2 linked regions of the Drosophila melanogaster genome follow. The protein of the gene in region 1 interacts with the protein of each later gene in a pairwise test. Each region holds a gene or a part of one and is shown on either strand. Other genes may lie near its edges.

Region 1 (7,899 bases):
CAGAAATGGCAAATTGCCTGGCGGATGGGTTGCATTTTCAAGAGCTCCACTTCGTGACCAGTGAGTTTTACAGCTTCAACTCACTTTAAGAGCAGTTGTTGGTAGCCACAGGCCAAACAGTTGACTATTTAATTAAACATGCACACAGTTTGTTTTGCCTGCAGCACTAATTAATGCCCATCAAATTGAGTTGCGTATATTAGTGTCAATGTTATTGTAACTTTAATCGAATCCAACGAACCAGACATAATTAATTTCATATTTCAGCTAAGTGCTGTTTAACCCGCAACCACTTTTCAAACTGCAAACTAATATGCCCATTAAGCGTTCATGCAGAAACATCCAATGAAACACAAAGTGGCAACCGCAAAATCTCATTTCACAATTCGCGCACACCAAACAAATGCCATAAATATTTGGAATTCGCTTCGATAGCAAAGTTGCAGACACTCTCGCAAAAATATTGTTTATTTTCATTCAGTTTATTGCTCAAAATGAAATATTCAGTTTAGGGAACTTCGTGAGATTTGGATTTAACCTTGAAAACTTTAACAGTGGAATTACTTTATGCAAGAAAATCAATTACTATTTGATCTAAAATACTATTATATATTCATTTATTTGACTCCTGATTACTTCCCATTGAAAGGGTATGCATTTCAAAAATGACATTTGGACATGACAGCTCTGATTTACGTATGTGCAACAGATGAACTGGGTTTCCAAAAATGAGAATCACATTTTCAAGGACTGCTCTTTTGAAGCAACCTGCTGGAAACACTACTGAATAATGTTTAAGCACTTTCACTTACTTAACATTCGCATTCGTTCTGTTTTCGCTTTGCAAGGATTTGGCTCGGGATGAGCAAACAAGTGGAAGTCGAAGGAAAAAACAATTGCATGCAATCAATTGGTGAAATCAGGCATGCAATTTGCATGAGTGTGTGTCTGATGCCCTTGACTCCTGAGCAAGCTACGTTCCATCAGGTGAGAGACAACCCAAGGCAAGGGTTAAGGGTCAATTGGGCGAAGGCAAAGGCGATGGCGCAGGGCCACAGGGAAGGTTAAGACTGGGCTGATTTTCTACATCCGAAGGAGGAGCCCTGTTATCCTGACACACTCACATGCAAAAAGTTACTTTCGCAACAGTTGTTCGAAAAGGTTGGGGTTTGTACTTGGTTTATCGCCAGCTTGTTGGCAACAAAAGTTGATTAGCATATTACGTATACGTCCGATTGCCCTGTAACATTTTCATTTTGGGCCGAGGGGAACGGAAATGAAATGTGTAATGAGAAAAACGGAAACTCAAACAGCAACTCAGGAATAAATTATTAAGGGCATTTCCACATTGCTTCAGAAGTGAGCACATATGTACAATATGTATGGTTTTCAAACATGAGGTTAAAGTTAGTGCAACAAAGCCTTAGAACTATTTAAACAACGTTATGTCCATAGGTTCTTAAACCAACCAGTTCAACTATTTTAATACCACTCCAACCTTGGCATTTAATTTAGATCAATAAATGCGGCGGGCGTAAGTTTTAATAACTCTCAGCTGAGATACTCGGCTTCAACAATTTCCACCCCTTTTAATTGCATAATTGATAATTTCACCTAACGACCGTCAGTTACAGCCAGTTATTTACTCACTTGCGTGTAAGTTTCCGTGGGTCCTCCTCCCGTTTCGATTTTCCTTATTTTAGTAGGGGTTGCCCAGCAACTGATTTTCGGGTCGTTCGTTGTGTGGGATGCCAGCAAACTGCAAGGTAAAGAAACTTGCTGAATAATTCAGGATAAAGGATACACAGGCCAACTTGTCTTACGCGAACTTTAAGTCAATACTAACTTAGATAAATTGTGGTATACTTTACAGGGAACCCCATACAGGTGAATGGCAAAGCATGTATTCGAATGCATTTTATATACGTTATTAAAAACCATTTCTCTTGGATTGCATATGCATTGGTTCGCCTTTTATAAGACAAATAGGTTTTACAAGCTAAAGACGGATTTATATCATCTGAGATCAACATTTAACTCCTTTTTTCTAACTAATAAAAGCTCATTTTAGTTTTGTTTAGCCGTATTTAGTCCATCTGGACCTCTCCCCAACATGCGTGTGTCAGCTTTACGCTAAAGCATTGTAACTAGTAACATTGAAGGTCTATTTTTACTACCCACCCTCTGGTTGGGTTCCTCTCGAAAACAGCAAACAAGACTCCCATCTGCCACAAAGTATATTATGACAGCCACACAGGCACCGCCACTTGACTTGACTGGCTTTTAATTTTATTACACACATACTCTTTTTTTTTACTCATCTCACTTCAAGCCGCCAATCGAAGTTTCAAAGCCAAAGATTCGATCGCACCTGTTGTGGGTTGTGTTTTTATTTGGCGTAAGGTCTTTAATTATTTGTCATGCCTGTTAAAAAATTTTATAGTGATTGCTTCAACTTTCTAATTGCTAGGGGCAATCAATCAAAACACCATCAAACATGTAACTTTTAAGGCTTTTTCGTTTAATTGAAGAGCCGTCCATCACAAATACTGACAACTGAGTTGCTATTTAATAAAATGTTAATTTAAATGATGCGTTCAATTTATAAATTTTCAAAAATTTTCACATATTCTTACGTTAGCATGAACAAGATGTTAAAACAAAATCAGTCATGATCATCAATGTGTTTTGAGCATACAATTTGCCACTGGTTGAAAACACGAGAAAGTTTTGAGATATGTCATTTCAGGTGTTTATTTTTAAAACGAAATAAATTTCGTGGACTTCAAGGTCAAGTATTCTAGAGCAGACCCCGAAATGTGGTCACACTTCTTGCGAATAGCCAAGACCCACATTCCTACTGTCAAGTTCAAATGGCCAAAAACATGGCAAACATCAGCAAACACTTTTTCGCCAGCAGCGGCACTTGTTGTAAAAACAAAAGTGGGCTGTTTGAGGTGGTTTTCTGCTGGGTGGGCAATGGGAGGTGGGGTGTTGTCTAAGGGTATTTGAGGCCAACATTCTGACAATCAGCTGTCTTGCATACAGAGAGTGAGAGAGAGAGAGGGAGAGAGCATTTCTCTCTTGAGAGGAAGCTTTTCTTGGGGGCTGCTTCCGAGAACGCTCACTCGCAATATTTATAACCCCTCAGTGGGTTCTCTTAATAAGCACGTTGTTTGGTAGCTGTTATTATTGTTGCGTATTTTTTTGCTGTTGTCTTTTAAGTTAATATTTTAGAACGTGTTGAGCGACGGGCTTTCGCACACCACGTCATACTCCCGTGTACCATGCATATATGTGTATACACACATCTATAGCTGTGTGTTGGTATGTATCATGCGTAATGTAATTTCATGGGGGTTACGAGTTTTGTACACTTGAACTTGCAGCTGTCCTCTGGCATACAAAAATAAACTGTTTATGCAGTTAACTTTTGGGCCGTGCTTTCGTTGCCCCGATTTAGCCCCACTTTTTCCGCCTATCATTACTAATTCAACGCACAGTCCTGTTTTTTTCGAAAATTATTCGCAATCATGCGAATTCTTGAATTGACACTTCCGCCATACTCAAATGTACAAGCAAATTTCGCGAGTGGGAAAGTAAATTTGCAAATTTCACACTCAATTAGAAGACACATCATATCACTTTCACTTAACAAAGTCATCACTTTCAATTGAGCTGATTTAAATCGAATATAAACAGATTAATACTGATTAATCAATTAGCTCAGGCTCATTTGCCACTGATAAGCTGGAATTCCCATTCGACACTATTGCGATTCGTTTTGTTTGTTTGTTTATAGCCAAGACTTACAAATTACTTTTCCAAAACCAAGTTTGTTTCTGAAGCCAGCGAAAAGGGCTGAGTCTGCGAAGTTTTTTCTTTTCTTGGTAAAAAATCTTCTGCGTAGCGAAAGGAATCGGTGCAGACGATCGGAACGCGGAATACAAAATACCACCGTTCACATGGGAAGCAGAACTTTGACTGGCATCTTCCGCTTCTAGGTGAGCACGGTCAAAAGTAAGTTCAACATGTGGGAGAGCATGCGCCAGCTGAGCGGAGAGCCGCCTAACAGAAAAGCTCGCCTAACATTGTTGGCCAAGACAGTGGCTGCCTAAGCCAAGATCAGGTTAACAGAGGCAAAGCTTTACAGGCGGTTAAATTTGAACCGGTAGCGCCAAAAAAGCATAATTCACGTTTCCATTACTGCTAGCTTTACAACAATAAATAATAACAAACATGTGTGATAACCATCTTAAATAAACTTTGTTATCCATAATAAAAATGTGAATCCAGAATTAAGTGAACTTGTTAAATTTAGTACAATTAATCCCACTTACAATTCAAATAAAATGAGAAATATGCCATTTTATGTAATTATTCAATAATTTTTATTTATAGTACCTCACTTTAAAAATTACGTTATACCAATATTACATTAAATGTTGTTTGTTTATTACATGGGTTGTTTTCGCTATTTCGGCTGTTACATAGATTGTTTCAGTGTTTCCTTTTTGGGTTTACATTTACCGTTTATAATAGATATTTGCTGTATATGCATATTTGATAATCCGAAATGTGCTATAATATTGTGTGGTTAAAGTTTACTCTTACACATTTAGTTAGCTTAAAATTTTAAATGTAATATTTTTATTATTTTTACGTTTCTGTGATTCGCCTTCATTTTCGATTCTTCAAGTTGCTGGGTTCATTTTTTAATTGCTCTTGCGACAATTTTAACAAAGTTATAATGATATTTTCATTTATTGTTGTTCTAACTCTTGTAGTTGCTACTCCGTATGCTTTAATTATTTTACAATGATATACAGTTTTGCTATAAAACATTAAAATGAATCCAACTAAAGATAATAGGAATTGAATTAAATTATGTTGAGTTTTAAGGTAAGCATATTGCATTCAGTTCTACGGGTCTATAACGCTAAAATAAATTAATTTGCAACATTTGATTTTTATAATATTCAGATACCTGTTCCCCTAGGTCAGCTAACAACTAAAAAAATCTATTCAAATGTATATACAAAGATATCCAAGTGCTCGCCGCACACGCATAGTTGAGATGAAACCAAAAAGTTTTGAAGTTTCTTCAGATGGGTGTTTACTAGGTGTATCCATTCCTCCGATTCCTAAATATGTAGATACGCTAGTGGAAGCTATTATACATTTTTTATCGTTTTTAAATTTCTAATTCAAAATTTTGAATATATTTCCCATTGTGGTAAATTTGTTGTCGGATTTTTATATAGACCAATCAAGTCTACCCCGGATTCGAAGGGTAGTATCCAAAACTCGCTCGAATAATGCTTTTTAAAGAAATGTATACTATAACTACTTTCATTCTCTGCTACACTAAGACATTTTACAGTTCAATTAGAGGTGTTTTGTATCCATATATATACGTGTGTATTTATTGGTTTCTTTTTCTTACAAGCTTGTTTTAAATCTTTGTTTGAATGTGACTTCAAAGGACATTATTTAAGAGCTTAGTATTAACAACATTTGCAGTTTGATTCGCTAATTTCAGCTGCTTCTGTTTCCGGTTCTTTCAAAAATACATTCCATTTGTTGATTCCTTGCAATTACTTCATTTCTACATTTATTTATTGGCTATATTCTTAATTCAGTTGAAATCAAATCAATATACAATCCAAAATTCAGGACGCCTCCAGTAAAATTCAAATAACTCGTTTTGCTTTCTTTTATCGTTACAAGCTAATGATTTAAGTTCTAGAACCTTGATAATTTGGTTTAATTCTACGTTAAGGTATTCTCCCACTTCGTTCTATCTGTTCAAACAATATGGTTATAAAGCATTTGATTCATGTATGGGTTGTGTTTTATGCGTCTTCACTATAATATTGGGCATGGGGTTTTTCAACAGTTTTAGGCGCACTTTCAGTCTCACACTAAGCGAAAATTATAACAAAGCACATAAGCACATTGAAGGGAAAACAATCTAGTTCGAAATTCCACAATCAACTGCCGATTCAAGGTTCTCAGAATGGTCGCGAGACCAAAATAAATACGCGTGTCTATATCCATTGATAACAAAGTGCTCTTAAAACTGCGAGCCCAAAACGAATCCATTAACTTTCGAGTCTAGAGGCAAATCTAAAATTCATCATTCTCTTACGTTCAAGGTATGTTTTCTTAACTTTCTTCTTTCTCCACCTTACCTTACCTAACTAGAACAAAGGACTTTCGCGAACCTAAAACCTATATAACTATGTTCCGTATAATGTAAATAAAGCATATTTCGTTATATATTTACATTTTATACACATCTCGGTTGTGTAATTAATGTCCATCTAGTTGAAAAGTGGTTTTGTGATTGCTTTATCCTACCCTTGGGAATTTTTTGTCTGTGGGTCATTCATATATGTGTGTACCTTCCTAACTGACTGACTGACTACTGTTTGGACAATAGCAAATGAAACTGCCGCAACTTGCGCTTCCAGTGCTTGCAATTAAATCTAAACTTGATGTCCTCGGGCCTGGCCACTCCCGCAATTGTTTCCAACTCCCTGTGTGGCTGATCATCCTCCTGCTCTCAACGCTTTTGCTTATTGGCTTTCTTGCGCTTGCTGGTGCCGCCACTGACTGCCGACGAGCCACTGGCAGTTACCGGCGGTGGTGGGGCACTGGACGGTCCGCTGACCAGCGCCGAAATGCTGGCAAAGGGCGTGCTACTGGCCGCCGTGCCGTCGCTAGTGCTGGCTGCTACTCCACCAACCCCACCACCTCCTCCACCGCCGGTGCTGCCCATTAATGTCGCAGCATGCAGTGATTCTCAACTACGCTCCGGCGTCCCGTGGTGCTGATAGATCTGCTGAAGCTGCTGCTGCTGTTGGCTGTGCACCACCTGGCTGCTCGATGTAACCACGTCCTGCTGCATATGCTGCGGATGGTGGCCCGGATGGGGCGACTGCTGTTGCTGCTGCTGCTGCTGCTGTTGCATGTGCACCACGTGCTGCTGCATGTGCTGCGGCGTCGGCGGACCCTGCTGCGCCGAGCTGTGGTGCTGCGGCGTGCTGTGATGCTGCGGCGTTGGCGGATGCGGCGACGGACTATACGGGAACTGTTGCTGTAACATATGCAACTTTGCATAAATAAATTGATTATCTCGGTTAGTCAAAGCTGGCATTTGTGTATGATGTTTGTGTGGGGGAGTGTCGTAGATAAGAGTTTGGATGCAAATAAAAAAAAATTGATTGCGTAGTGGTTAATAGGATTAGCATCTTTTAGATGTGAACATAAGCTAAAACATATTCAAAGATTCGCAAAATCAATCTTAAATCAGTTAATTAAAAAAGTTACTAGGACTTTATAGAAAAGCCCCTTTTAAGGTAACTAAAACATCGTGATATCAAATCGTTTTAACAAAAAATTCTCAATATAGGCGTTGTTTTTATCACTTGGCTATTGCAGGTGGAGTTCAGAGTTGGTTGGCTGCATTTGCATTTGCTTTTTAGCTTTTCAGCTGCGTACTGAGACTGGCTACGTACCGAATTCTCCTGACTGTGCTCGATAATCTCAATGCTGCCGGTGGTGTTGCCCGAGGTGTTCAATAGCGCCACGCCACTCGTGTTGGCCACCACGTCGTATTTGCCGCGCTTGAAGCGGCCGTAGAGCGAGCTGTAGGGCAGGTTATAGTGAATGGCCGCCTGGTTGATGGACATTTGGCCAACGCTGTGGGGGATACACGTCGGAAATGGTGATTAGTGACTTAATTGACGCCACCATTTCGGCTCACACACTCACCGCACTGAGTTCAGGGCCTCGTTCATGGCATCCTCGGACCAGGGTGTTGGATTCGAACGCGACAGCTCAATGCCCTCCCGTTTGCAGCGTCCGTAAAGTGTTCCTTTGAGGCGGTTGATG
Region 2 (6,702 bases), on another chromosome or scaffold:
TTTATTATGCCAAGATCTGCTTAGTGCAAGTGAGAAGAGAAGAAACAAGTGAAATGCGCAACACGAAAAGGAAAGCGTTAGCGAGAGTTGCAACTGCATCTCATGCCAATGTAATTCGATTGCACTGAATCAAACGAGTTTCCCGTTGATCAAAAGCGCGTAAAGTGCACCCCTCCCCCCTGTGGTGTGGCTGGTTAGCATTTTTCACAATGAGCAGTTATTGAATTTCTTCGATAATATGTTGTATATTCGGTGTTAAGGCGGTTGCTGTTGTTGCTGATGTTGCTTGCTTCCTGTCATTTGATTTCATTTAGCTAATATGCAACGCATATGAATTTTTATTACGTTGCAGCAGTTGATTGGTAATTTCGTTGCATCTAATTAATGATTGTTGTTGACACAGCAAAAAATTGGCCAACAAATGTTTGCATAACATTGTTTTTACTTAAGAGAGGGTGAAAACCATTGTTTTTGCATACATCGAATAATGAATATTAATTGATTTAAAATCTAGAACGATTATTTGGTTTGTTTTAAAGAAATCCAAAATAAATAAAAACTTATCTAAACATTACACAAATATTCACATAGTAAGGAAGGGGAGGTTCATGCCAAATATATATAATCATGTCAGCGACTGACGCAAGATGATGTTGCAAACTGGCAACTAAGCAACAACAACATCAACATCCAGCATCGAGTGTCATTGACTAATGTTGCATGCAGCGTATAAAGCTGGTAAAAGGTAACCGCAATAACCAAAAATTCAATCAACGAAAACCCAAGACCGAAACAATAGAAGCGAATTTGCTGTTTTTTAGCAAAGCGCAAAAAGTTTTGGAGATGATCTAAGTCCAGGCCACTTATAAAGAAAAAAGATAATGGTATTGGTATAAAGGAATGTATTCATAAAACCTAAAATGAAATAAAAAAAACTAATCATTTAAAAGACGAAACCATTTTTTGTGTTAGTAAATATTATTATTCGAGAAGTAAAAAGTTTCGAGCGGGGTCATCGGTGCAAGTACATTTGGGGAATTTACTTGAGCTTCAAAAGGGGAGATGACAAAGTTTTTGAGTCTGCAAATAGTTGAGGGTGAGGTGTGCATTTATATAAATGGTAGGCTGACATTTGCCGACAACGTGAAAGGGCAAGTATATATATTTTTCGGAAAATAGATACCTTCGTCTTTGTCTGTCGATCTGCGACCCATGTTTCCCTCGATTTACACTGGACAAAAAAAAGTACTAGCACAAATCTTTATGGATGTTCGTCGAGAATATACATTTTTTTTTTTGGGGTTAATAAATGGTTTAGTGTGCACTATAAACTTTTGGAGTTAAAATATTATATATTTAACTCTATTTGCGTGCCTCAATCTCGATCCTCCGATCGATTGGGTCTTAAAATGCCGCGCAGCCATACAAATACGCTACTCGTTGTAAAATGTTAAATGGGACATGGCTAGTCAAGGAGTTTGGATAGTTAAAAGGTACTCACGGGAGTTAAGGAGGGGTACACGAGTTATGGTTAGGGAAACCGGACACTTGACACACCGGCGAAACAGTGGCCTAACCAGCCGAGCCTTCTCTCGTAGCCCGGACAAATGTCAAGTAAATATATATTGCTCACAAATCGCATCCACTAAAAAATAACAATATATAAATTATAAGAAGTAACGGTCTGTCTAATAACCTATTATATTATATATATATATAATTAATTAAGATGTTAATAAAAATGTAAGAACTTTAAACATTATTTCAGAATTAATTAAGATGTTAAAAACAATTTAATTGTGTTATAATATAAACATTTTCAAATACTGAAAATCTGTTTGAAAAATAAAATTTTTCAGTTTAACATCTCATAATCTATCAACAAGTCGACTACTTTTATAAATATTCAAATATCGTGTGGCCGGCGCTTGTTTGGCACTTTATTGCAAATGCTTTGCGGTTTTCGCAATCCATGGGCCTCCAAAAATTGACCCCTTACTTGGAAGGTTCACCTTGTTTCTATTGGGTTTCTTCTTTTTTCATTTTGTAGCAAGCAATAATAATTTGAGGGATTTGTTGTGCACGTTAAGCTGGAATCCTCCGCTTCATTCTTTTGAGCCGAATATTAGCAAAATGATGCACATGCATAATTTCCATACCACTCAAATGAATGGAATTAATCGAACGCTAATCGACTTGGAATCTGTACTCTAATTGACAAAATTCTCACACCCTGTAAGTCTCTAATTTTTGATATTATATTTACGATTTGTATTTTATCCACAGTAATATTGCAATAATTTATGTCGACTATTGTTATTTAACTTCTTTTGATCGTACGCTAACCTCAACTTTCCCAGCAAAACTCTACAAAAGGATTAACTTCGACATGCAAAATAAACGCTTTGGTATATCGCTATCACCGCTATTGGTATTAGAGCTATGCAAATTTGTTTTAGTTGCTTTCAAAGAGATTATTATTTATTGATAAAGATTGTGCCAAAATATGTTAAATGTTTAGAGCAAAGCTTGTCGTCCAGTATTATCCTCGTTGTGTATGCGTTGCCCTCTTTTGTTAGAAATCATATGGGACCTATTTAAGCGAATCGCATGCATTTTGCCTTTTGGGTGTACGTTACAGCGCCATACTCCTCCACAATCTGATCAATGGCAATCTTGTTTAGATTCTCCAGATATAGACGCGTCTTTCGAGACTGGATAATATAACTAATAACGTCGTGCATATTATCGAAGAAAAGAAATCCAGCAGTTCCGCAGCTGAGGTCTAGATAGCGGAACCTATTAACATCGCAGGTGCATCCATCAAACAGGAAGTAAATAAAGTCATTATTGTTGTGATACCGGAAAACCACGTAGTTGCCCCAAGGGGCCATCACGAAAACCCGCTCGGCACACCGGAATCCGGCTCTCAGGAGCTTGCAAATGCTATCGTAGCATCCATTCTCAGAGCCCACCACCGCCATTGTTTCCGGAATACGAAGAAGAGCCGGGTAATGATTCGGTTGAGCCCGAAGGACATCGTGGGGTCCGCTAGACTCTGGACAAGCGTCAAGTGGTTGCATCTGCTTTGGTGGTTCCGGACACGGAGGACATGGTGGCGCTTCGATGGGAGCCACAACTGCGGCGGGCTTCTTGCCCTTCTTTCCTTTGCCCTTTTTACCCATGGTTAATCGAGTCTACGATCTCTGAAAGTCGCGCAACGCACAAATTAGAAATGCCTCTGCGTTTGCTTCCGATCACTTGAAAATAGTTAACGAATCAAAGTAGCATATATCCTGACGTCTGAAATACGCATTTAAAAAAAAAAAATATTAATTCTTAAGTTAACCCCAACCAAATACTCAGTAAACACTGTCCCACACATATAGAATTACGACTTCCAATTGTGTGCGTATGTCATGTGAAACCAAATGCAATTCGGAAATGGGGAAAAAATTTCAGTAATATTCGGAATATGCCGAGCTTCCAATAAGACTCACCAACTAGCTAAACACGATTTGATTTTGGTACACACACCGTTCTCTTGTATTCCTAATTTTAAGTTTGGCCAAAAAAAAAATTTTGTAAATCTGGTCGAGAGCGAAGTTAAATTTTGTACAGTTTTTTTTCCGAGATTTTTTCGTGTGCTTTGTGTGTTCACAGACAATTTTACTTCTGATGTTTTGCCATATGGCTGGTGATAGCCAAGTCCAAATACTGACAGTTTCAGCAAAGCAACGTGATCTAAAAAAAAGTAAGAAAGCCATTCTATTTAATAAACCAACCCAGAGTAGGCTACGTTTGGTGCTCGTAAACAGCTTAATGCATATATAATTGCCAGTTCTTATTTTATTCAATTATCGTTGTATCACAACTTAAGGGACAACTAAATCTACTACTTTCCTTTATCTGCTGGAAGAAGAAAAATATGGAAATATTAAAAAAAATATCTGATACGATAAAAGTACCATTGAAATACGAAAAACGCGTATTTATTAATTAAACATTATCTAAGCTTCAAATGATGGCCTTTTATGAATGGACCAGTGGAATAAATCTCAGGTTTTTGGCTAAATGATGATGACACCACCATTATAATCGCAACCATACTAACCTAATGGGTTACATTTTATGGCTCACAGCGGTATCAAACGAATACGAATCCAAAAGAAAACACTCCTTCGATTATTGCTTCATCAAAAAGAAATTCTCAGCTAATGGGGTAACCCAACCTGTCATGCCGGCAAACGTGAGTCGGCAGGTTTAGGATACCCATATGGAGGAAGATATCGCTCTCTCCCACTCTCTATATACAAATGTGTGCAATCTTCAATGGTATTATTTAATCAGTTGCTTTAATGTGGGATGATTAGATAAGTACTAGAAATAAGATTCATTTACCGCATAAGTACTTTAACCTACATACAGTTTAACCTTTATACAGTTCAAATTATACTTCTTATACCCGTTACTTGCAGACTAAAAGAGTATACTAGATTCGTTGAAAATGTATGTAACAAGTAGAAAGAAGCGTTTCCGACCATATAAAGTTTATATATTCTTGATCAGTATCAATAGCCCAGTCGATCTGGCACTGTCCGTCTGTCCGGCCGTATAACGTCGACATCTCAGGAATTATAAAAGCTGGAAGGTTTATATTAAGCATACATATTCTAGAGACAGAACCAGCGCAAGTTTGTTGAAATATTACCACGCCCACTCTAAGGCCCCCAAACCCCCCAAAACTGCCACGCCGACACATTTGAAAATTTAATTTTGTAAATCTATCGATATGTTATCTACATATATCCAACTCCAACGCACTTCCTCTAGCGGAGTAGTAACACGTATCTGTAAGCCGACAAGATCGACTGAATCGTTTTCTCCTTGTAAATTCACATGGATATGTTGCCTTATACAGATGTCCAAGTCCTTCTTAAAAAAAAAAACGGCATGTTAAAAACGTAAAAAAGTACATGCTCATAAAATTGAGCTTTTTATCATAAAATAAAGATTTTTAGCTTTAAGCCGCGAAAGCTTAGTTTGGAGTACTTAAGCTTTAAGGTGCTGAATAAGTTTGCAGAGGAGAAATTGCGCATAATTTATCTCAGAGAGCGGAGTTATTTAGCACCTCTCCGGTAGCCTTCCCTTTCTTTTTTTATGACTGAAATTAATCTTCATTCACTGCAGGAATATAACAAATGGTTTGCTGATTGTTTACACATGGGCTATCCTGCAGTTGTATCGGTCAAAATAAAATACAGCAATAAAATAGAGCAATCGAAATTTTGATAACTGTGGTACCAAAGTGCAACAACCTAAAAGTCGACGCCAACGAGTCTAGGGCAAACAAAAAATAAGAACAAGGTCCAAGGCATTGGGTCAAAAGCCAAGTAAAAAAAACAAATAGAAGGAAGGGAGAACGTTATATACAAGAAACTCGACTATCCAATACCCATTATGATAACATAAATCAATAAATAAAATTCAGAATTATGTTTTATAAGTATGGGCAAATTAGGGCGGTGCAAAATTTGTTTGGCTAGAAATTGAATTGGATAGAAATTGACAATACAAAAAACTAAATTAAATTAAAAAACTGCTTTCATACGGACAAAGGGACATGCTCAGATCTGGGCTAGTGATCCTGAGGAAGGTATGTATATGTATGTATGTATATATAAACGTCATAGGGTCTAAAATGCTACAACGAATCTAGAATACAATTTTACTCTACGTGTAAATAAAAAGCGGGAATATCAACGGGAAAAATCTCTGACAAAACATACTGTAACCACTTTTACCTGGGAAGCCTACACTCCCCCAATTCTGTGAATCTCCCTCCTACCCGCTGGCCAGATGACCAATGGCGAATAGATTGGGCTAGACCACGGGACGACGACGGCAAAGTGCCTAAAGGGACTTAATCTGCTCGTTCATATAATCGCTGTCGCCAGCATTCCACGCTCCTAAATAATTATTTGCATATTTATAACATGTGTGCCAGGCCTTTTCTTATACACCCGCTAAAGACATGATCCGAAAAAAACTGCTCTCACTGGAAAGAAGAAAACATTAAAACTAATAATAAATGTTTCCCAAGTGATTATCTTCCTATAATTTCTTTCACGTGAAAACTTATAAAATCAGACAAAATAATAAACAAAAAAGCGTTTCTGACCCATTACATCTATATTCTAGCTCAGTATTGATCTAGTCATGTTCGAATGTCCCTCCGTCCGTATGAAAAGAACTCGAAAACTATAAACCGAGAAAATGGACTATAGCGCTCATGTTCTTTTTAGAGTAAATTGTCTGAGACTGTTGACAGGAGAATTGACTTGAGATGTTACTGTCTATGCTCTTGTTTTTGACGCTTTTAGTAAATTCAGCTGGGCACCTGTTGAGTGGGCGTGGCTTCCTGTTAAAGTTGTGATGACAGTGACGACATGTCACCGGCTCTTTGACTGCTTCAGCCTCTGTCAAGTTGTACTTGTCACGCCCATGAGTCCGCGATCTACATATTTTATTTCGTATTGCACAGCATGCAGAGCTTTTGAATTTTTATATGGTATGGACCGATGGTTTTGTACCTATGTACTCTTTGTTGACTATTGCTTTTCAATTCCCAGCATTACCTTTACAAACTTTTTTTACAACGCCCCATGGCTATGAAATTTTATGTGTTCATTTTTTATATCA

Evidence for each region.
Region 2: the proteins of CG11883 (region 1) and CG12470 interact in a two-hybrid assay, tested with the Drosophila melanogaster proteins (2 studies listed by BioGRID).

Annotation. Positions count from the first base shown.
Region 1 is NT_033778.4:10,613,751-10,621,649, reverse strand, and holds the start of CG11883 (uncharacterized protein), read right to left. Parts: upstream 3,989-7,899; 5' UTR 3,814-3,988; intron 1,760-3,813; 5' UTR 1,651-1,759; intron 1-1,650. Other genes in the region: psq (pipsqueak), read right to left, coding at 6,809-7,117, 7,524-7,707, 7,780-7,882.
Region 2 is NC_004354.4:304,691-311,392, reverse strand, and holds CG12470 (uncharacterized protein), read right to left. Parts: upstream 3,710-6,702; 5' UTR 3,501-3,709; intron 3,304-3,500; 5' UTR 3,186-3,303; coding exon 2,598-3,185; 3' UTR 2,458-2,597; downstream 1-2,457.